Arabidopsis thaliana: one gene and its partners. The protein of the gene in region 3 binds, or shares a complex with, the protein of the main gene of each other region. Links are inferred from orthologs where the notes say so. Each region holds a gene or a part of one and is shown on either strand. Other genes may lie near its edges. The genes, in order: FSD3, PTAC12, PDE312 and MRL7.

Evidence for each region.
Region 1: the proteins of PDE312 (region 3) and FSD3 are in contact, whole or in part, in a cryo-EM structure (PDB 8XZV), measured with the Spinacia oleracea proteins. The link is inferred for Arabidopsis thaliana from one-to-one orthologs. Residues at the interface, in XP_021866326.1 of Spinacia oleracea: Arg80, Lys81, Trp84, Val85, Trp89, Pro91, Glu156, Leu158, Arg177, Asp178, Arg188, Glu192, Arg195, His198, Lys199, Ala202, Arg204, Tyr276, Pro277, Tyr314, Trp315, Glu329, Leu331, Arg346, Asp353, His354, Leu355, Leu356, Phe357, Arg359; in XP_021853685.1 of Spinacia oleracea: Tyr59, Tyr60, Gly61, Leu62, Lys63, Lys64, Pro65, Pro66, Leu100, Asp104, Leu106, Tyr107, Gly108, His109, Thr110, Lys116, Val117, Tyr119, Asn120, Tyr121, Gly122, Asn123, Glu142, Lys194, Ser204, Asn205, Arg258, Gln260, Ala261, Phe262.
Region 2: PDE312 (region 3) and PTAC12 share a complex: the UniProt entries of both Arabidopsis thaliana proteins name them as parts of the transcriptionally active chromosome (TAC) complex.
Region 4: PDE312 (region 3) and MRL7 share a complex: the UniProt entries of both Arabidopsis thaliana proteins name them as parts of the transcriptionally active chromosome (TAC) complex.

What each region holds. Positions count from the first base shown.
Region 1 is NC_003076.8:7,848,898-7,853,077, forward strand, and holds FSD3 (Fe superoxide dismutase 3), read left to right. Parts: upstream 1-1,546; 5' UTR 1,547-1,726; coding exon 1,727-1,813; intron 1,814-1,911; coding exon 1,912-2,001; intron 2,002-2,279; coding exon 2,280-2,471; intron 2,472-2,559; coding exon 2,560-2,731; intron 2,732-2,832; coding exon 2,833-2,906; intron 2,907-2,984; coding exon 2,985-3,011; intron 3,012-3,099; coding exon 3,100-3,123; intron 3,124-3,218; coding exon 3,219-3,344; 3' UTR 3,345-3,637; downstream 3,638-4,180. Other genes in the region: PYRD (pyrimidine d), read right to left, coding at 1-19, 110-365, 453-776, 913-995, 1,197-1,346. UniProt on the Arabidopsis thaliana protein: Destroys superoxide anion radicals which are normally produced within the cells and which are toxic to biological systems. Plays important role in chloroplast development, particularly in the maintenance of thylakoids membranes.
Region 2 is NC_003071.7:14,581,295-14,586,667, forward strand, and holds PTAC12 (plastid transcriptionally active 12), read right to left. Parts: upstream 3,504-5,373; 5' UTR 3,251-3,503; intron 3,073-3,250; 5' UTR 3,052-3,072; coding exon 2,968-3,051; intron 2,851-2,967; coding exon 2,170-2,850; intron 2,080-2,169; coding exon 1,967-2,079; intron 1,893-1,966; coding exon 1,633-1,892; intron 1,551-1,632; coding exon 1,429-1,550; intron 1,353-1,428; coding exon 1,284-1,352; intron 1,190-1,283; coding exon 1,136-1,189; intron 1,046-1,135; coding exon 950-1,045; intron 872-949; coding exon 767-871; 3' UTR 541-766; downstream 1-540. Other genes in the region: GPS1 (geranyl diphosphate synthase 1), read left to right, coding at 1-83, 159-338. UniProt on the Arabidopsis thaliana protein: Involved in plastid gene expression. Acidic transcriptional coactivator necessary for the transactivation of many PIFs target genes (class B genes), particularly during the regulation of hypocotyl growth.
Region 3 is NC_003074.8:17,960,234-17,966,159, reverse strand, and holds PDE312 (Nucleic acid-binding, OB-fold-like protein), read right to left. Parts: upstream 3,998-5,926; 5' UTR 3,952-3,997; coding exon 3,223-3,951; intron 3,132-3,222; coding exon 3,072-3,131; intron 2,978-3,071; coding exon 2,948-2,977; intron 2,870-2,947; coding exon 2,796-2,869; intron 2,656-2,795; coding exon 2,413-2,655; intron 2,292-2,412; coding exon 2,225-2,291; intron 2,140-2,224; coding exon 2,047-2,139; intron 1,934-2,046; coding exon 1,757-1,933; intron 1,680-1,756; coding exon 1,629-1,679; intron 1,392-1,628; coding exon 1,240-1,391; intron 1,170-1,239; coding exon 752-1,169; 3' UTR 547-751; downstream 1-546. Other genes in the region: AT3G48490 (uncharacterized protein), read right to left, coding at 4,360-4,628, 4,729-4,822.
Region 4 is NC_003075.7:14,124,676-14,129,010, forward strand, and holds MRL7 (polyadenylate-binding protein 2-binding protein), read right to left. Parts: upstream 2,408-4,335; 5' UTR 2,154-2,407; coding exon 1,459-2,153; intron 1,214-1,458; coding exon 1,129-1,213; intron 997-1,128; coding exon 885-996; intron 796-884; coding exon 692-795; 3' UTR 537-691; downstream 1-536. Other genes in the region: MGT5 (magnesium transport 5), read left to right, coding at 53-328. UniProt on the Arabidopsis thaliana protein: Plays an essential role in early steps of chloroplast development. Involved in the regulation of plastid gene expression. May positively regulate plastid-encoded RNA polymerase (PEP) activity through binding to FSD3 and CITRX/TRXZ.

The DNA of each region.
Region 1 (4,180 bases), on a different chromosome or scaffold from region 3:
GTGATGAAACATTGATCACCTGAAGAGAAAAATGAAAATTAGGAACAAAGAATTCTACGGTGGATTAGATCAAATTCATGTTCGATATATCATGGTAAGAAGTTTGTACCAAGTAATCAGCATACTGGGATAAGTTATGAACTCCTTGGACATAGTCAGCAGCAGCATCCTCACTCGTCTTGTTCTTTCCAAGGTTGACCCCAAGAATACCAGGTCCAGATTTTCCCCCTGGTTTTACATCATCACTTGGAGATGACGAAGTAGCTGATGTTTCAGCCAACATTCTTTTACCATGTTGAGCACCCAACCGCTTTGCAACGACAACAATCCCTTCGCTATTAAATCCACACCTATTGATAATAGCTCTGGGAGGACCAAAATATAAGTCTTTTAGTTTAAACTATCTTGCTTCTTCAATCATTGAAGGTCTTTTATAGATTAGAGATTCTCACCCTTCTTGGCTTAGTCTGAAGATACGTGGTTTCGGATTGCCTTCTTGTGGAACAGGAGTTACAGAGCCTACCTCAACAAAGCCAAATCCCATCCCTAGCAGTCCCTCAGTAGCCTCAGCGTTTTTGTCAAATCCAGCAGCAAGCCCAATTGGGTTTGAGAATTTCCTTCCCCAAACTTCAAGTCCCAAGATTGCTGGATCAGGCCTCTTTTCTCTAGGTACCCACCCGCGAGCTGCAGCTGAAACAGCCAGCTTATGCGCAAACTCAGCATCCAGAAGAGCAAAGAAAGGATTCACAACCTTTGTTGCGTTGAATAGCCACCCACTGTCCAACACACAAAATAGGTAAGAGGTAAAAAACAAAGTGACTTCCTCAAAGTAACTACAAGGTAGCCTTAGCAATGTCAACTAACAAAGAGAACAAAAAGACTAAGTTTCAGGGCACTTATTAAGTAAAGTACCAGAAGGTTGCTTCATCTGCAGTACTAACATAAGCTCCTCCAGCTATGGCCAGACCAATGGTAGCTCCTGTCAATATCCTTCCCTATAAATTTTCAAAGTCAAACACTTTGCTCTTGTAAAATGAAATAGCATCAATGATCTAACTCTACTACACCAATTAATGTGCCATATTCAGATCAAAACAAGAGTTGCAACTCCTTATCTTAAGGAATAAGATTCCAATATGATTCGAATAAACCAAAAATGAGATTAATTTATCAATAAATTCATCAAAGCTACTCACTCTCTTGGAAAAATGAGGGACTTTCGGTGCAGAAGAAGCTCCAGGAACCGAAGAACAGTTACGGGTAGCTCCAAGAGGATTAGACGAAACCCTTCTGAACAAAAACTCTCTCGCCCATTTCGCCGACGACGTCGCAGCCCTTCCGGCCATTAGGTAAGATGATTAAATCGACAGTGGAATCAAACAGAGTTCGAAAATGGTTGCTTTGAAATCTATAAGAAGAGGGTTTTAGCCTTCTAGCTCACGGCTTGAATCTTGATAGAGAGAAAAATATACGCTTTTTGTTTGTTGTTCGGTTACAAAGGATCGTCAGAGTATTTGCTAAAACCCTTGCTTCCTTCAGGTTGATCTTTCCGGTTCGATTTACCGGTTTAATGTAGTTAACCGGGGTAAAATCTTATATGTTAACCGGTTTGAAAAGAGATTGATAAGGAAGGCCCTTTCTCTGAAAAAGCGAGACCAAGAGTGCGAAGTAGCTCTCTGTCTTTCGAAGCAGAAGTGAGACTTTGACGACAACAGTGGGAGGAACTATGAGTTCTTGTGTTGTGACGACAAGCTGTTTCTATACAATTTCAGATTCTAGTATACGTTTGAAATCCCCCAAGCTCCTCAATCTGGTTCGTTTCTTTGTGTGACATGGAAATTGCTGTGGTTCTGTTTCACATGAATCTATCTCTTTTAAGCACTAAAGCTTTCAAATTTCGTTTCCTTATAGAGTAACCAGCAGAGAAGACGCTCTCTTAGGTCTCGAGGTGGTTTAAAGGTTGAAGCTTACTACGGTCTAAAGACACCTCCTTATCCACTTGTAAGTGCAAATAAGACTTTGGTATTTGTATTTGGATTCTAAGTGTAGTAACTATGTCTTGCTTCTGTAATCCAATTCTGTTCTCGACTAAGCACGGAACTGTAGAAAGTTTGTTAATTTGGGTGAATTGTCTTGTGAGTATAGGAAAGATTGTGTCTTGATCTGTGTATCTTCTATCTTGCAAAGTAGATGTGTCTTGATCTTTAGGGCCTTGGTGATATGTCAAAGAAGATGGTATAGTTGAGATTCTAATTAGAGTTAAAAACAAATGTGAATAGGATGCTTTGGAGCCGTATATGAGTAGAAGAACACTAGAAGTGCATTGGGGAAAACACCATCGAGGTTATGTAGATAATCTGAATAAACAGTTAGGGAAAGATGATAGACTCTATGGATACACCATGGAAGAGCTTATCAAGGCTACATACAACAACGGGAATCCTTTACCCGAGTTCAACAACGCTGCACAGGTACTTTATATTCTAAGTAACTTGTACATTATCACCCGAGGCACACACTAATGTTGGAAGGATTGATGATGATTATGTTGTTGTTTAGGTCTATAACCATGATTTCTTCTGGGAGTCGATGCAACCTGGTGGTGGAGACACGCCTCAAAAGGGTGTTCTTGAGCAGATTGATAAGGATTTTGGTTCTTTCACAAATTTTAGAGAAAAGTTCACTAATGCAGCTCTTACTCAGTTTGGTTCTGGATGGGTCTGGCTTGTCTGTGAGAAACTTGACTAGCTTTTCACTTGGTATTAAACTGTAGAATGACTTTGAAAATGGAAAATTTTGATTCTCTTTTTGTTTTTTTCTGGAAAATTTCAGTAAAGAGGGAAGAGAGAAGGCTTGAGGTGGTCAAAACCTCAAACGCCATTAACCCACTCGTGTGGGACGATATTGTATGTTAGAGTTTTATTAGTTAGTTTTCTTGTTGAACTTAATGTTACCTCTTGATCACATCTCTTTTGTTGTTACAGCCAATCATCTGCGTGGATGTGTGGGAGGTACACCATCTCCTCTCTTCTGTCATTCTTCCAAGAAACACTTTGAAACATTTTCTAATATCTTTCGTTTTCTTATCTTACTTTGCAGCACTCTTATTATCTGGACTACAAGGTAAAAACCTAGCTTAAATTCCGACCATTCTGTGTTCTTTTTGTTCGTTCAAAAGGCTAAATCAGTGTTTGTTTCTTTCTTTCTCCGGTTGCTAGAACGACAGGGCTAAGTATATAAACACATTTCTGAACCACTTGGTGTCGTGGAACGCTGCCATGAGTCGGATGGCCCGTGCAGAAGCGTTTGTGAATCTTGGTGAACCCAACATCCCAATCGCTTAAGCTAAACACAACTCCTTGGAAACTTGGGCAGTCTCATTTTTGCAAACAGAGGTCTCAAGTCCCAAGTCCCAACCAACAAAACAAGAGTTGCTTTCTGAATGTGACCCATCTTTTTGTTCTGTGTAATTTAGCGACAGTTTTCTCTTCTTTTGCCTTTTGAGAGACTCTCTAGCTTTAAGATCATCAGTGAGCCCTGTATGGTGACAGTAATGTTAGTGACGCAATTAACCCTTATTAAGTTATAATAAAACGAAGGCTGGCTCACGTGACCCGCACGTGACTGAGAGTATCCGTTTCCTCTTCTTTCTTTTCTTCTTCTTCTTCTTCTTCTTCGTCTCCTGACAATAGGGATTGACACCATCGTTCACTTCAACGTAAAGGTATAAACTTTCTTCCTCCTTAACGTCAAAGTTTCACGCGATCGTCTCTGTGGAACTCCCTCAGCATCGGGTAATTCCCTGATTTTCCCAACTCGCTCTCGCGGAAACTCTCGATTTCGATTGGGCTCTTGAGGTTCTGTTCATTTCCTCGTCTATGAATTTTCTACAATTGATTAGGAGTCGTGCCCATAACTGCGTGAGTAAAAAGGGAAAATTTTCTTAAAGATAAGCAATTTCAAGCTTTGTGTTCGTGAAATTTATCCTTGTATGAAACTTGCAATGCGATTGTTGTGTTGGTTGGTGGGTTTTCTGTAAAATCTCAATGTTCATGTAGGACCTGGGTTTTGGCAGATTCAGTGCCATAAAGACTGTAGTGTTAGTCCTCATATTACATTTGTATGGTTGCTAAATGGTCAAACTGATACTAGTATAACTCAGAGATTACAAGATTTATTT
Region 2 (5,373 bases), on a different chromosome or scaffold from region 3:
CAATCCTCTTTGCCATGGAAGAGTTTCCTCAACTACGCGAAGTTGTTGATCAAGTTGAAAAAGATCCTAGGAATGTTGACATTGTAAGTTTGAAAGAAACAAATCTCCTAAAATCTATAATATGTTTTCATAGTCTCTAATACTATTATATCACACAGGCTTTAGAGTATCTTGGGAAGAGCAAGGGAATACAGAGGGCAAGAGAATTAGCCATGGAACATGCGAATCTAGCAGCAGCTGCAATCGGGTCTCTACCTGAAACAGACAATGAAGATGTCAAAAGATCGAGGCGGGCACTTATTGACTTGACCCATAGAGTCATCACCAGAAACAAGTGAGATTAAGTAATGTTTCTCTCTATACACCAAAACATTCCTCATTTCATTTGTAGGATTTTGTTGGTCCAATTCGTTTCACGAAACAATAATGTTTGACAAGCTGTGGCTTTGGTTTTAAACTACACATGACAAAAAAAGGAGACAGATACTAATTGTGAAATCATATTCCTTGCGAATTCGGTTTAGGTCTTGTTTTAACAGATTAAACCGTCTCAAGCTGAACTAAACAGGATGCAGTACAGTTAACAAATCACTTTCAAAACTCTATAAATTCAATCAAAAATATTTGAATTCCATATGATACAAATCACTTGCAAAACTCAAATCCACTCCTAAATGATATCATCCCTTCCAAGTATACAAGCAAAACCAGTGAAGAAAAAGTTGCCCTAAATAACGTCTTTACATAAGAAATACGAAAACCAGGTTTAAGGATCAGTCTCCTCTTCAAAGTCCATGAGAAAATCAGTTAAGTTCTCAGCATCATCCACGGCCTCGTCTAGAGACATCCGACCTTCCTTCTTTGGTTTAGGCTGTTTAAGAAACCAAGCTCATAACATCAACACACCACACAAGACATATAATGTGGCTCAAGTTGAATGTGACTTTACCTTGGCGGTGCGAAGCTCAGGGGTTTCCTTCAAGACACTCCAGTTCCTCGGCACTTTCTCGTCGTCTTTTTCTACATCTGCATCGTCTTCGTCGTCCTGTCAAAAAATGTCCGGAGATGTTTCAGAGCATGATACATCAAGAAACAATAAAGAAGAAGAGGATCTGATGTAATCGATGATACTCACATCGTTTTCACCAATATCAACAGCTTGTGCCATTGCATCATCCATGTCAGGTACCTGCATTCATACAATTTATCGAACATATCAAGCGAAACCCTGAAATCTCACAATCAGAGTTGTGTCAAAGGAAATGAAAGATTGGTCACTTTACCTCGAGCTGCTCGGTTTTCTCTTTTGTCAGTAGTGCTTCATGCATCTCTCTTGAGATGACTTTGCCATTCTGATCAAATCAGAAACAAAGAAAACAATCAGACCAAGAAAGAAAAAGAATAGAACTTTGAGCAAAGCAGACTAACCTCCTTTAGATAAGAGAGCATATTTGGTGTAGGCTCATGAAAATCAGGTCCTCTGAAATCCATAACCGCATTAGGATCTTGAATGTAGTTAATTGTCGGGTAAACTGGATCCCCGCCCCAAACTGCAAGAAACCGAGAATGTTAGTCGAACGATTGAATATCCATGATGAGTTAGTTCAAACTTCAACGGTCAAAGTTTCTTACTTTGCTTAATTTGATCCTCCCTCATCCGCATTGCCAATGGATCTCTCTTGATCCTAATATCAGTTCCCATCATTATCCGGTATTCTCTATCTGTTTGATGAGAGAACATCTCAATCAGTTGTGTGTTTTCATCTTCACCTGTCTCTTCAAAATGTTTTTGTACAGCTTCTCTTGACGTGTCTCTCTTCCATGCTTTAACCCATTCAGAATAAAAAGCCATTGGACCTTCTTTCGCTAATCTCTCTCGCTCAGCTTGCAGCCTGAGAGAAAGAAAACTCGAAAGAAAATCCTAATAAAACAGATTTTCACTTGAAAGTTCGTTAGATCAATATACCTCTCTTCCTTGAAAAGATGCCTTCTTGCTCTATAAAGAGAAGTTTCTGTGAGTGTTGGTTCTTCCCCATAGAGCTTCACTTGTCCTGTTTCTGCCATTGCCTTGAGGAAAACCTGCATCAACAACAAAAAAAAATACCATAATGGATCAAACATTGGGGAAACACACACATGTTTAAACCTGAAATCATTGTGATGACTAACCGTTTCAACATCAGGACGTCTTCTTTGCCATCTTGACCATTGTTCTTTCTCCGGTTTCCTCCAGTTCCACCACGATTCATCGCTCGTGAGTGTCTTTTCAATTTGTTTCTTTTTCGTAGGATCAATGAAAGGATGTGGCCTTCCAAGCTTTTTGTCTAATTCAAAACCAGTCTCCTCTTCTTCTCTCTCAAATTCATTCTTATAGGTAACAAACCCATCCGAGGAATCATTTTCCTCTTCTTCAGAGCTATCCTCAGAATCGGATACTTCGTCATTCGTTTCAACAGTCACATTCTCCTCAGTAGCTTTCCTATTCTTCTTTCTCCTACTTCCAGGATTCTTTCCATAGGAAGGAAAACTCGAAGACTCACCAGCTGGTTGAGGAGCTCTAGCAGCTCTAACCCGGCTCGAAGTTCCTTCAGGCCAATAATCCTCACCTGGAATACTAGCCCGAGCCCCGGACGCTGGCTCAAGCTTCCCAGAAGTTGAATCCATATAACTATGGTAAGGATGCCTCTCAACAGTCACATACTCAAATCCTTCTTCACTCTTCTTAGACCCTTCACTTACATCACCATCTCCATCCTCTTTCTTGCATTTGATACAATGTCGCAAAGACCGATCCCTAGAAGTAATCCCAGCATGCAATGTCTTGAGTGGAAACCCACATTTAACCCGTCTCTACATACATAAACAAACTTTTACCAGTTTGACATCTTGAAACAAGCTAAAATGTTCACTATCTCTAAATTAGATAAGTTTGGATCAGAACAAGAAACTTGATGTGTAAGAACCAACCTGCACAATACAATTACTGGACTTTCCACTGTCTGTGCATACTTGACCTCGGTAGAGCCAGGTGGTGGTTGATATTGACGCCATTTACACTCTTTCTACTTCTCACTGTATCATTTACAAAAACAACCGATTCAATTATGCTCAGAATCAGTTTCAAACTAGTACAAAACATAAAACCCAGATAAGAAGAACCTGATACAACAAATTGTCCATAACAAGGTACGATTTTTTTGGGCATTTTTACAAACGCTTCACACTCGAAGTTGAGGAGAAAAAGACTAACCTTTTTGTTTTACCAGGAGATTATGTAGGAAGAGGGTTTTCTATCATGGAGCTTGATTTTGAAGGGGGTTTTGGCTTCAAAAGGTTTTCACTTGTCAGTTTTTGGGTTTATCCATTTATCTCCTCCTGCGTTTATTAACATATTCTGGTGACGGCAAAATCTCTAGATTTCACGACGCGCCGGTATTAGAACGGGAATTTGTGAAGAGAAAGTATATGGGCTTGGTATATCTAACTAAGGCCCAGTATTAATGGATCTTTGAGAAATTGTGAGCTTGAAGTCTCTCTTGGGCTTTAACAAACACTTCCAAGAAGAACAAAACATCTTTTTCTTTTTTGGCAAAACATCTTCTAAACAGTTTATTATATTGATATACTTTCAAATAAAATCAATATGTGATTTGATCATTTAAAACATGCCTTAACACAAAAGATATATGGAAGAATGTTTATCGAAGTATGCATGTGAACACATCTTAGTTTTGTTAATAGATTTGCAATTTACAATTGCGATTATACAATTTTTAGATAGTTCTCTCCGTAATGGATTAATATAGTGGACTAGAGGAACATGTTACACAAAAAACATCAATCATTGTACCTTTAAGTGAATAAATACTTGTATATGATTTGTACTTCAGCGTGTGTACGTACTTGTCTAAGACACTATAGAAGGAAGAAGGTTTGGACCCAACGTGAATGGCAATTGGCTAATGTGCTAATATGGTCTGAACCAATATTAAATGGGTCTGACCAGACACATCATAGACATTACGGTATCTATCACAGGCCTATTTTAACCTAATATCCTACACTTTTTATACATTAATACTACTATTGCTTACTTCAAACTTGCTAAACGACGATAATATTTATTTCTAGGGACCAAACATATAATTGTTTTTTTGGTTTTCTGAAATTTGGCAGACGTAGACCACGTAAGACTATACCACAAAGGTCTGACTAGGCACAAGTTTCGCTGACCCGCACGCGCCTAACGTCACCTTTTGAACTATTCGTGCAACGAGCGAGACTATCCATGCGGCGTCGTTTTTTCCCAACTTCCTCTTCCTCTCGTATTGTCAAACGGTCAAACCTATACTCCTACATAAGAAAAAAAGAATCAGCAGCATATAATAGCAACATTTGAAACTTCATAAGCATATATAAAGCTAGAGATGCAAACTAAAGACAAACAATATAGCAGTTTCGAATTATATAATAGATACAATAAATAAAAAAATAAAAAAAGAATAACAACCTTTTATCAAAAATAATACTGTAATAATAATAATTTGGATACTATTACTATCTTTTCGAGTTTGCTATTTTACATAAAACAATATGTCAGGGAAAAGAATCTCAAAGCACTAAAAAAAACTGTAATTTGATGCTTTTGGTGACCGTTAATAAATGAGTGGCTAATTGGAAATCTCGTCAAACTTTTTCTGCGACATAATTCACTTCCACAAGTAATTGGAACAGAATCTCACAAGTGGCGACGTGTACTTACCTCCACATGGCACCTATCCGTTCGCTAAAAATATACTCCATGTATAGATGTGTGTAATATTACATGTGTATAAAAGCGACGACGAGGATAATCACCTCGATGAGTATTTGAGTAGATGTGGACTTGTCATGAACATTTTAGCAGAGAGACAATGCATGCATACAAACAGAGAACTAACAAATTTCTTTAGTTTTTTACCATTCGTAACTTAAAAAGTTTATTCTTTATTTACTTGTAATACACTTTTGTTAAATGTTACATAGAATAATCTCCGATTTATACATTATTTGATCAGTGATCATAGTTACTAGTATCTATTAGTTTATGGTATGTTTTGCCACTGTTGTTCAACAATGTTGCAATTCTTACAAAATTCTTGAATCAACATTCTTTTTAACAATCAACTATCGGTTAAAAATATGAACTAATAGTATATGAGCTGCTGGTATGTTTTTCTACCAAAAATCAGATATTTTTCTTTGTTTATTGCATTATGATTAATCTAAACACTAACTAAAATTAGTAGTATTATTACTGATGAAATAAAACAAAGGAGTGGTGGGGCAGAGGGAGGACAAGAACGGGACAGTGGCATAAATCAGACTGGTGAA
Region 3 (5,926 bases):
TTTTAAGGCCCACAAAGAAGAGCGAAAACCCTTAACGAGCATATACAACTCGGAGCACCTCTTTTCTCTCGCTCTCTTCCTCTTCAAGGTTTATATTTATAACTTCTTTTGCTGCTCTCAACGAACTCTTCCAGGCTAATAAACCGTCTCTGTTTTCATCTTCTCCGTAGCTGAGATAGCTCCATACCCTCTCCGACCCAAGTAAACTGATTTTCCATGTTATGGAGATTTGGTTCTCTAACTTATTGCTTTAGAGTTTTGATGTCATTGTACAAGTTTAATGCTATTATTTTTGTGAATTAGGTACAACCTTGCAGAGTAGCTTTGGTAAGAGTTTGCCTTAAGAGTTTTGTCATCAAAGAGCACACATGGTGTGAAGTTTTTGGTATACACGGAGAGATGACAAGGGTTTTTGATATTCCAGGTACGAACGAGAAAGCCTTTTGATAGAAGTTGATGTTTTGGAGCCCAAACAGAAGAAACAAGAGAAACATTTAGGCGTATTTTGCGGTGTCAAGACTACCTTCTCTGACGACGATTGATAGAAAAAACAAAAAACGTCACGTTCCTAACGTTCAACGGTGTACTACAAGATCCCAAACGTCTGGCTAAGTTAATAAGAAACTGATTTTACTATCTCCGGGATAAGAAGAAATGAAAAAAAAAAACTATCAAATAGATCAAACCTAACAGACAAAAATTCAAATAAATCAACCTCGACAATTTCTTATTTTTACTTTCCTTTTAAACATCAGTCTGTCAAGACTTGAGTACCGTTAACAAGAGGTTGCTGTTCCGAGTAACCGATACTGCTCTCATCACTCAGAATGCTATAGTCAAAATCGTCAAAATCATCGTCATCCTCTTCTTCTTCCTCTGACTCTGTTTCTTCTTCTTGACTCGCCAAGGTAGACCCTTCTTTTCTTTTCTCTATTGTCTGCTTAATCGCATCATCGTAAGACATGTCATACCACACATTGCCTTTCCCAACAATGGATTTGTTGTGTGCATCCTTCATTCTCTCTTGCTTGCTAATCTCTGAGTTCTTTGGCTCTCCCCAGTAGTCATACTGATATAATGCACTTGTTGGATCGTACTGGTCTTTCCCAAAGAAGCTTCCTGGCTTGTACCTCCCTGGTTCCTCCAATGGTAAACCAAGTGCTTGCCGACTGCAAAATAAATCTTCTTCATCTAAACACTTTCTTTGAAAAACATCAAAGTGAACTTTTTTTTACTTACGAGCTGATATCTCTGAGCAATGCTTCTCTTTCCTCCAAAGATCGGCGCCAGTGTAAGAAATCATACTCGTCCATCTCTATATTTCGTCTGAGCTTGTCAATTTTGTATCCTTCTCCTCTTGCTTTAGCTTCCATCATTAGTTTATTGTGGTGCTGCACAAGACAACAGGAGAGTATTGAGTTATTAACCACTATCAGTATAAAAGATTCATACAACAATGTGTCAATTACAAAGTGCAAAGCCTTAAAATGGAACTGTGACGACAATCGGAGTTACCAAGACAGTGTGAAGTGGAAATCTATTAAAAATAAACAAATACAAACGAGAATATTTCCGTAGCAGTGGGTTAAAGGAAATTGGTGACGACAAGTAGGGAAGAGAATTTAAACCTGGCGCTCGGTCAATGCAGCCTCTAAGTCAAGTTCCTTGACACTGGTTTTCTGCCAGAAATAGAACACATTTAATCACAAAGCTTAAGACAGTATGGTTTCACGAACACACCAGAAGAAACTCTCACCAGAATCACTTTTGGCAATTTGGTTTTCTTATAATAAGCTTCGCCATACTCGATATCCTTTTGTTCATCAAAGTCTTCATCATCAGATAATTCTGATAGCTTTTTGCCTTCGTATTTTGCAGGGTTAGCTTCGTAATCACCCAAAATCATTTGCTCAGCTACATGTATCTGCCACAACTGCAAACGGGAAAGAAATGTGTTGACGGTTTCACAAAATTTAGAAAGCCAATAAACCTAATGAGTAAACAAAGCAAAAATCACATAACCAACCCTTTTGCTCAGGAAAATACCTTGTCGACATAAGGGTGATCAGAGAGCAGCCCTTCCTCCTCTGGCTTTGATCCTGGATCTTTTCTAGGTTCAGGAGGTCTTCCACAATCTCGCTGTACAAACAATGTATTAGATAAGAGGGAGACTCTTCACGAGAACACGAAATGGATTGATATTCTAGGAAAGGATTCTACTGACCCGTATCTCATCTGGATTAGTATCCCCATCACGATGGAATATTGGTGGGAAGTCAAATTTATTAAATCTGGAGCAGGAATGTAAAAACAGTCAACACATATACCATAACCAAGACCATTGAGGACAGAACCAAAATGCCAATTTTTACTGGATATGTAAAGAGAATTAAATACGTGTGAATTACATACATCATGTGATCTATGTTAGGATGGACGAAGCGCAACTCCAAGGGAAACCGAAACCGGTATGGATCTCTTTTTGCCTGAAAGAACAAAAGAAAAAGGAGAATGAAGCAATTTCCATTCAGATTTTTATAAATGCGAAAGAAGAATATGTGCCTTAAGATTACCGTGATTTCAACGATAACATGCATCCCAACTTTTATGAAATGCCGGATCCAAAACCAGTCATTACCTTTTATAGGTACCCATCTGCAAACCAATAGACACATAAACTTACATCTTTCAAAAAAAGCATATGAAACAAGAGACAACATTATATTACGTTATATACCCTAAATACAAGAACCACGGTAAGTCTATCTTTACAAAGTAAAGAGACATAAACATACCCTTCATGAACACCTCCAATGTCAACAAACGCTCCCTGATACAGATGTAAAGTGGTAACTGTGCCTTCACAAACCTGCATGGACATTACGATATTGCTCATTTAAACCAATCATTAGTTACAATATACAAGGCTTAGAATAAGAATTCTTACCATCCCTGGATAGTAAAAGGGAAGCTCATACTGCACAAAGAAAAATAAAGCAATTAACTTACAAACAGTTCATCATCTAGCAAACTAATCAAACAATCAAATCCAGTAGCATAATAATATTTACCATCCCATCTTCGTAATCCTTCCCTCTTTTCCTCCTACCCGGATAAAAATCCTGATCGAGCTGTATAAATAAAAACATCATCTTTATTAGAATCCTTCTCTTAGCCACCACTAAGCTAACAATATCTCATTGTTCAAAAAAAAAAACGAACCTTGTAAGATTCTTCCTCCAACCTATCTTTATTATCTTCAACCCATTCCTTGTATTGTTTCAAGAAAACCTTAAACCTCTCCAAACACATCTTATCAACAGTAGCATCTTCACCAACTCTCAAATCCTTATCCAAATCCTCAAGCCAAACTCTTTCAGCCATTAACTTATGAGCTTCCCTAATAAACTCCAGCTCCTTCCTATCAACTTCCCAACCTCTGGGAGGCCAATCACGCGGCGGAATTTGCCTAAGAACCATCGGACCAGCCCAAGATGTTTCTAAAGGAGGTGGTTTATCACCTCTAATCTCAAATTGCTTTGCATACCATTCGTCTTCTGTTATCCCCATCTCCTTAATCTTCTTCTTCCTATACGATGGTCTCAGCATCTTAAACGCTTCGATCGCTTCCGGCGATTGAAGCGGAACTTCTTCACCTTCGTTGAGAGATTTACGAGCGAAATCAGCTTCTGGTGTGAGAATCTCTTCCCATGGAGCCCAACCACGTTCGATCCAGTTACGTCGTCGAGCTTCATCTTCTGTGTCTTTGTCCTTTGGTCCGAATTTCTCGAGGAAGGTTTCGTCGACTGGGAATTCATCGGAGCTGAATCCACGACAAGGCAGCAAGGATATGCGACGAGGCGGTGACCATTGAAGAGCTTTGGGTTTGCAGAAATTAGGGTTTGTGGGATTAGGGAAAGTGAAATTGAGCTTGGTTTGGCAAATCTGCATGATTCATTCGTCACTCTTCAGGGTTTTTGAAGGTTTAAGAGAGAGTGAAGAAGTTGAGTATGGATAAGCTTTATTTCATTTTACAGTGAAGAAGAAATGTTAAGTTTTTTTTGATGAACCCTTATATTTATCCAATATATTGTTTTGACCCCAAATGTTTTTGATTGATCAGTTAGACCCATTTTAATATAAGGTTTAGACGTTTAGTTATGGATGAACCCCTACATGACCAGTACTATCAACACCGTTGGTTAAAGATCATAAAGCTTGTTTAGGCTAAAGTAATAAACACATGATTGAGAGATGTTTTGATACAGGCATCTATATAGACTCCTTACTAACAATGTAGTTAAATTGTACATAATCAAAGTACAACACACATGAACTTGGGATACATTTGTTTACAAATCATTCCTGAGTCTCTGTCTTCATGTTTCGTGCTTGAGCTTGATTCTTGTACTTGCTAAACATGGATAGTACTGATGGGTTCTTGCTCTTTATCTGTTTCGAGCTTTCACACGAGTCTATAGCCATTGCATCATGAGTGTCTCCTAATTGTGTATCCGAAGACAAGACATGAGACGATGATGTTGATGACAGATTCTCTTCACCTTCTGTTTCTGATGAAGTAGTGTCCTGTCTTGTTGACCCTTGCTTAAGTTTCAACAGTGTTGACTCTACAATGCCATCAAAAGAAACCAAGGATTTCAAAACCTAGAGATTTCTATTGGACAATCAGAATCACATGAAAATGGAAAGAGTGTGTATTTATTATACCGTAGACGGAGAGAGGATCGTCTTTGATGATCTTCGCCGGATATCTCTCCAGACAATCCGGCGGCGACGGCGGTGGTCTCAGCCTCCCAAACATACGTCTCTCTCTCTCTCTCTCGAGTCAATTAGATCTGATCGTCTTCTTTGAATTGACAATCTGAAAGATGACAACATATAATCGATTCTTTGTGTTTTGGCGCCTCGATCGATAAAAAAGAGCGGGAACCTGAGACCAACAACGGCCCAAATAAATGCTGTTATAATGGGCCCTTCGCTCTTATTATGATTTTATCATTAATCACGTTTTTCATTATTATAAACCAAAAAAACTTTTTATATAAAATAACTAAAATAGATAAAATTTCCATCAAATCTAGTATTAATAGAGAAAATATATTAAACGTAAATATTGTTTAGGATATTAACTTTTTATTTATGAACTTGTTTTAGGATAATTGATTATTTCAGAAAATTACAATACTAAATAGCATGAAAAGATATAATTTGATCAAATCTCTTACTGTTTATTATGTACACATATATTAAATTTATAATCTACTTTTTTTTTACATACCATTATGTTACGTAGATTTATCAGCAAAAGCTAGATATTATTGAGAAATAAATTTATGTGAAATTCAGTATTTAAATACACCTTAGTAAATCCCAATAACACATATGAATAAGAATATGTTTCTTCACAGATGATCTATGGACAATTATACTTGCACAATTACCACTAAAAATGATCACGACTTCTAAACTGGTTTGTAAGCAGTGGAAATCTATTATCGAGTCTCCACATTTTCGTGTCATGTTCATGTCTCTGCACCATTCTTCTTCATGGTCGCTCATGTGTAGGCGTTACAAGATAGAACTTGTGGCTCATCATAGATGCAACACTTGGGGATTTAATCGTACCAGTACTCTTACATCTCGTCTTTTATGACCGATAAATTCGAAATGAACATATACCGAGAAGCCAAAGTTGTTCCTTACAACACCGATATGGGGTTTATTTTGATCGATGTCGAGTCTATCCTCAGGATCAATCGTTATACCTAGCTAATCCAATTTCACATCAATGCTTAGAAATCAATCGTCGTGCTCTCGAGCATAATTTTTTCTGTCCCTTGGGAATAGTAACACAAACTAAAAACGGCGTCGTTTTGAGTTACAAAGTTGTTATGTTTGATGAAAG
Region 4 (4,335 bases), on a different chromosome or scaffold from region 3:
GTTATGTGTTAATGCCCGGTCCTTGGTAATTTAATATTTTTTTGAATTGCAGATGAAGGAGCATATTGACAGCACAGAAGCCTACGTGAAGATACTACAGAATAGTAGACGTAACGGACTGATCCACCTAATGATGCTTGTGAATATAGGCAATTATGCAATAACTGCAGGGACAGTGGTGGTCAACTTGTTCGGTATGAATATACCAATTGGATTGTATAGCACACCTGACATCTTTGGTTACGTTGTGTGGGCTGTCGTTGCGCTTTGCATTGTGCTTTTCATAGTCACCGTTGGTTACGCCAAGTGGAAGAAGCTACTTGACTGATAAGAGACTAAACACATTAGGTTTAGTCATTATGAGATTAGCTTTGTGGAATTCATTTTTTTTTTAGTTTGCTTTTTCTTATTGATTCAATGCTTTTGTTTTTATGTTATGGATTTTTGCATTAATAGTTTATCCTTCAAACAATTTTTCTATAAAAGGAGCTGGCTTCTTGATATATGTATGCATCATTGGTTACGAATCAACGTGTTAGGGAAAGCACAGATTGACGAGTAAAATCCATTACTTGGGAACAAGTTTATATTTGCATAGAACATACAAAAATGTTAACAATCTATGAGTGAAGTTTATGTAAATTTTCCTAGACTGACCTTTTGAGTGAAACTACTCTATGCCCGTTACAAACTAACAGTACGGGGTTACATTAGCCTTGTCGACACACGAAGGCCTCTTCGCTTTATAGTAGAAATGCGCAATCATATGAACCAATTCATCCGCCGTGCGAAAGTCTGCATCAAGTTCAATACGCTATGATAATCTATTGCTCACACATATTGCAAAAAAACATGAAAACAACGTTAGCAACATAGCTTATCACCTTTCTCCCTGTACAGAATCCGGTTTCCGCGTAAGAAGAGAATCTGTGGGCATTCCTTAGCTTTAAGAGCATATGCCAAATCTGTCTCGATGTTCAGGTCAATCTTAACCGCCTGTTTCATAAAACATGGTGATTCTTGTTAACAGAGAGCAGCCACATTAACATGTAATCACACCAAGAGAGATTAGTACACAAAGAGTAATGTTCAAGTTAAAACTGCAACTAGAGAAGGCTTTCGACATACCCGTGGAGGTAATCGATCTTTCGCATCCCAATAAACTTTGATAGCTTTCTCAAGCTCCTTCAATGTCTTCCAGTTATCACTAGCTCTATAAAACGCACAACAACTCAAAAAATTATTCCAACAGTAGTAGATTTTGGTCACTCTAAGAACAAGTTTCAGTTTTTATACTCATTGCAGTTAATTGATCATGGAATCTAACTCAAATGGCTCTTTCAACTTGTAATCATAGTCTAGATAATGTTGTGAAGGAAAAAGAACAAAGCTTTCATAGTTCTACTATGCACACCAAGTGTTTGTGAAAATTCGTCAATGAAATAACAAAGCTTATACCTTTTGTATCGCTCGAATACAAGGACAACGAGTGGACTAGGATGAAAAGCAAAGCTTTCCCATTCCAAACAATTGATCTCCTTGACCCAACTATCATCAATCTCACCTTCCCAATCAATCTCACTCCCATCATCTCCAACCACGTTTTTGATTGGATGTGTATCGAAATACTCCGAAGCTTTGATTCCCCATCCAACGTCTGTATCTACTGGCCAATCTGGATCTTCCTCTTCCACCACCATCTCTTCTTCTTCTTCCTCTTCTTCATCAACGCCTCTGTCTTTGATGAAATTCGCCTTCTCCTTGTTCTCAAAAACCTCCGGATTCTGCTCCTTTATGGTGGAGAAAGTACGCTCGAGGGAGCTTCTCACGTAATCTTCCACAGCGTCTGCTTCACTCCGCCGCCCACGCTTCGATTTACGCGGGACCTTTGTCGGAAACTTTTCATTGTTCTCGGTTTCAGCAATTGGCGTAACTGCTTCCTTATTTTTGCGACGGGACCGAGTTTGATTTTTGGATTCAGGGTCTAGTACGGAATCAGACGAAACAGCGGCGAAGCGTTTCACGCTCCGGGATGATATAGTCACCGGGAAAACAAATAGTGGGCTGCGATGCATATCAGAGAAGCTCGAATTCAAGCCGGTGAGAAGCATAGAAGATCTTGGCGCGGAGCAAGCAACAGCGAAGAAACTCATTTCTCTCGTTTCCTAAATTCAAAACGAAATTCGCAGAAATTTTTGGTAACTGAGTTTTTGCTCTTATAATCCACTTTGTCTGTATAATCCCGGTTTGGATTATTTCGGTTTGTGTTACTGTCCTTGATTTGGATCGGTTATCTTTCCCGATACTTGGTTTAGTTTATATAATCGAAACAGCGTCGTTTGAAATATTCATAATTTCATATACCTAGCTCCTCGCCTCCGTTAATGAAAAATTTGAAATATTTTTGGCAAATTTTAAAGTTGGATATGTTCTTTTTTTGGCATTTTCCCATTTCGTTATGTGATCACAATATCCATAATGTGATCACAAATTAGAAACATTGATAAAATATGTAAACTTTACATAGTCATAAGATCCTAAAATGGAATATTTTCTGACCTCAAAATGTAAACTCGTTAACAGTACACATACTAGTGTTTAAATATAATTTGTATGCAAGAAGAAGAAGCAGACACGATATGGAGAAGATTATTTTGGGATGCATTGTGTTTTTGTTGGTGTTCTGTGCCGTGTTGATTTGTCGTCTCTTACGTTACCTTTGTGAAAAACGGTGTGAAGAACCTAATAAGGTTTCGCACACACAAGAAAAAGAATCTAATAAGGATGACGTATTAATTCGAGGTACGTCTATTGTCTAACTGTTTTGTTTCGAGCTAATATATAACTTTTCTACAAAGTGAATTTTTCGATTCTATTTCTAATCTTTTAGTATCATGACAGCCTCGAAGACACAAACATATAGACCGCCTCAGGTGACGACGGTGTAGCCCGAAACCCGTAAACAAAAAGAACAACGTCTTTTCTACAATCAATTAAATATTTTTCACTTACCTTCAAGAAAAGTTTTTGTTTTGTGAAATAAAAGAAAAGTTTTTAGTGATTGTTTTTGACATTGTTCTCTTATTGTTTTTATTTTTATCCAAGGTATATTCTTATAAAGTTAATTGTTTGCGGTCTAATTTATTACATAGTACGATCTTTGTCAATGGGTGGAAGATATAAAGAAATTCTTCCTATAGTTTAGAATGTGTGAGTAAGATAAAATCGGAGTTCATAAACTCGATTGCCAAATCTTTGGGGTTAAGAAGGCTCAGTTTAGACGAAATAAATTTATACAAGTTAGAATAGATGATATTGTTAAATTGTTGGATCATATGGAATTCACAAATTAAAGCCTAACACGTGGTCACTGATCACTGGTTTCACATGCATTAAGACTCGTGGCCCATTGAAAACTGCAATGTTTTATTGTATAGTTGGTTCCATGTGTGAATGTAATTTTGTTTTGTGTTTCTTTTATATAGTTTGCATAAAAGCATGTGTTTTTATCTTCTTTATTAATAAGAAGTAAAAGAATTCTCGATTTCTTACACCCAATCTGTTACAGTTACACAGTACACATATATCTTCTTGTAGGTATTTTCATTTTTCAGTGACGTATTAATATTTGTAAAATGGAACTTCGATGACTCAAAATGTAAATATGTGTACTTTCTTTCTTGAACTCTCTTTTATGGACCTCACACCAATTTCATTGAGGTATGCAATACTTTTTCACTGAGGAATATTTTAACGAGTCTACTCATAAATCTCATCATATAAATTTGTTTTGGCATTAAGTTATTTTTATTATTGGTCGTCTCACGTCTGCCATGTTATTATGACATATATTCATAATATATATTAAAGATTGATATGAATATTAACTTACTAAGTATGGATGAGATGTTTTTGATAAATATATCTAAATGATGTAATTAACCATATATTAAACTTCAAATTTGGAAGTTGATTTTCTACATTTTACCAATTGACAGCTAGTTTTATTTATTCAATATCTACTTTCTATACATCCTTATAATGTCCAACTTTATAACCTAAACATCTACCTAACAACTAACAAGAGTCAGTACTCCCTCGATTAGATGTCTCCACACATATTAATAGATTAAAAAATGACAAAAATAATTCAACCTTCAAGATACATAATGTATTTTAAAATTCACTTTTTTCATGTTAATAGTAACAACTATTAGAAATATAAATGGTAAAATATCTAAAACATCTACAATTAAAAACTAACAAATTTAAATGAATCATGATATGTTGTTAATTTCACATGCTCCATCATTTTATATACCACTTTATTAATAT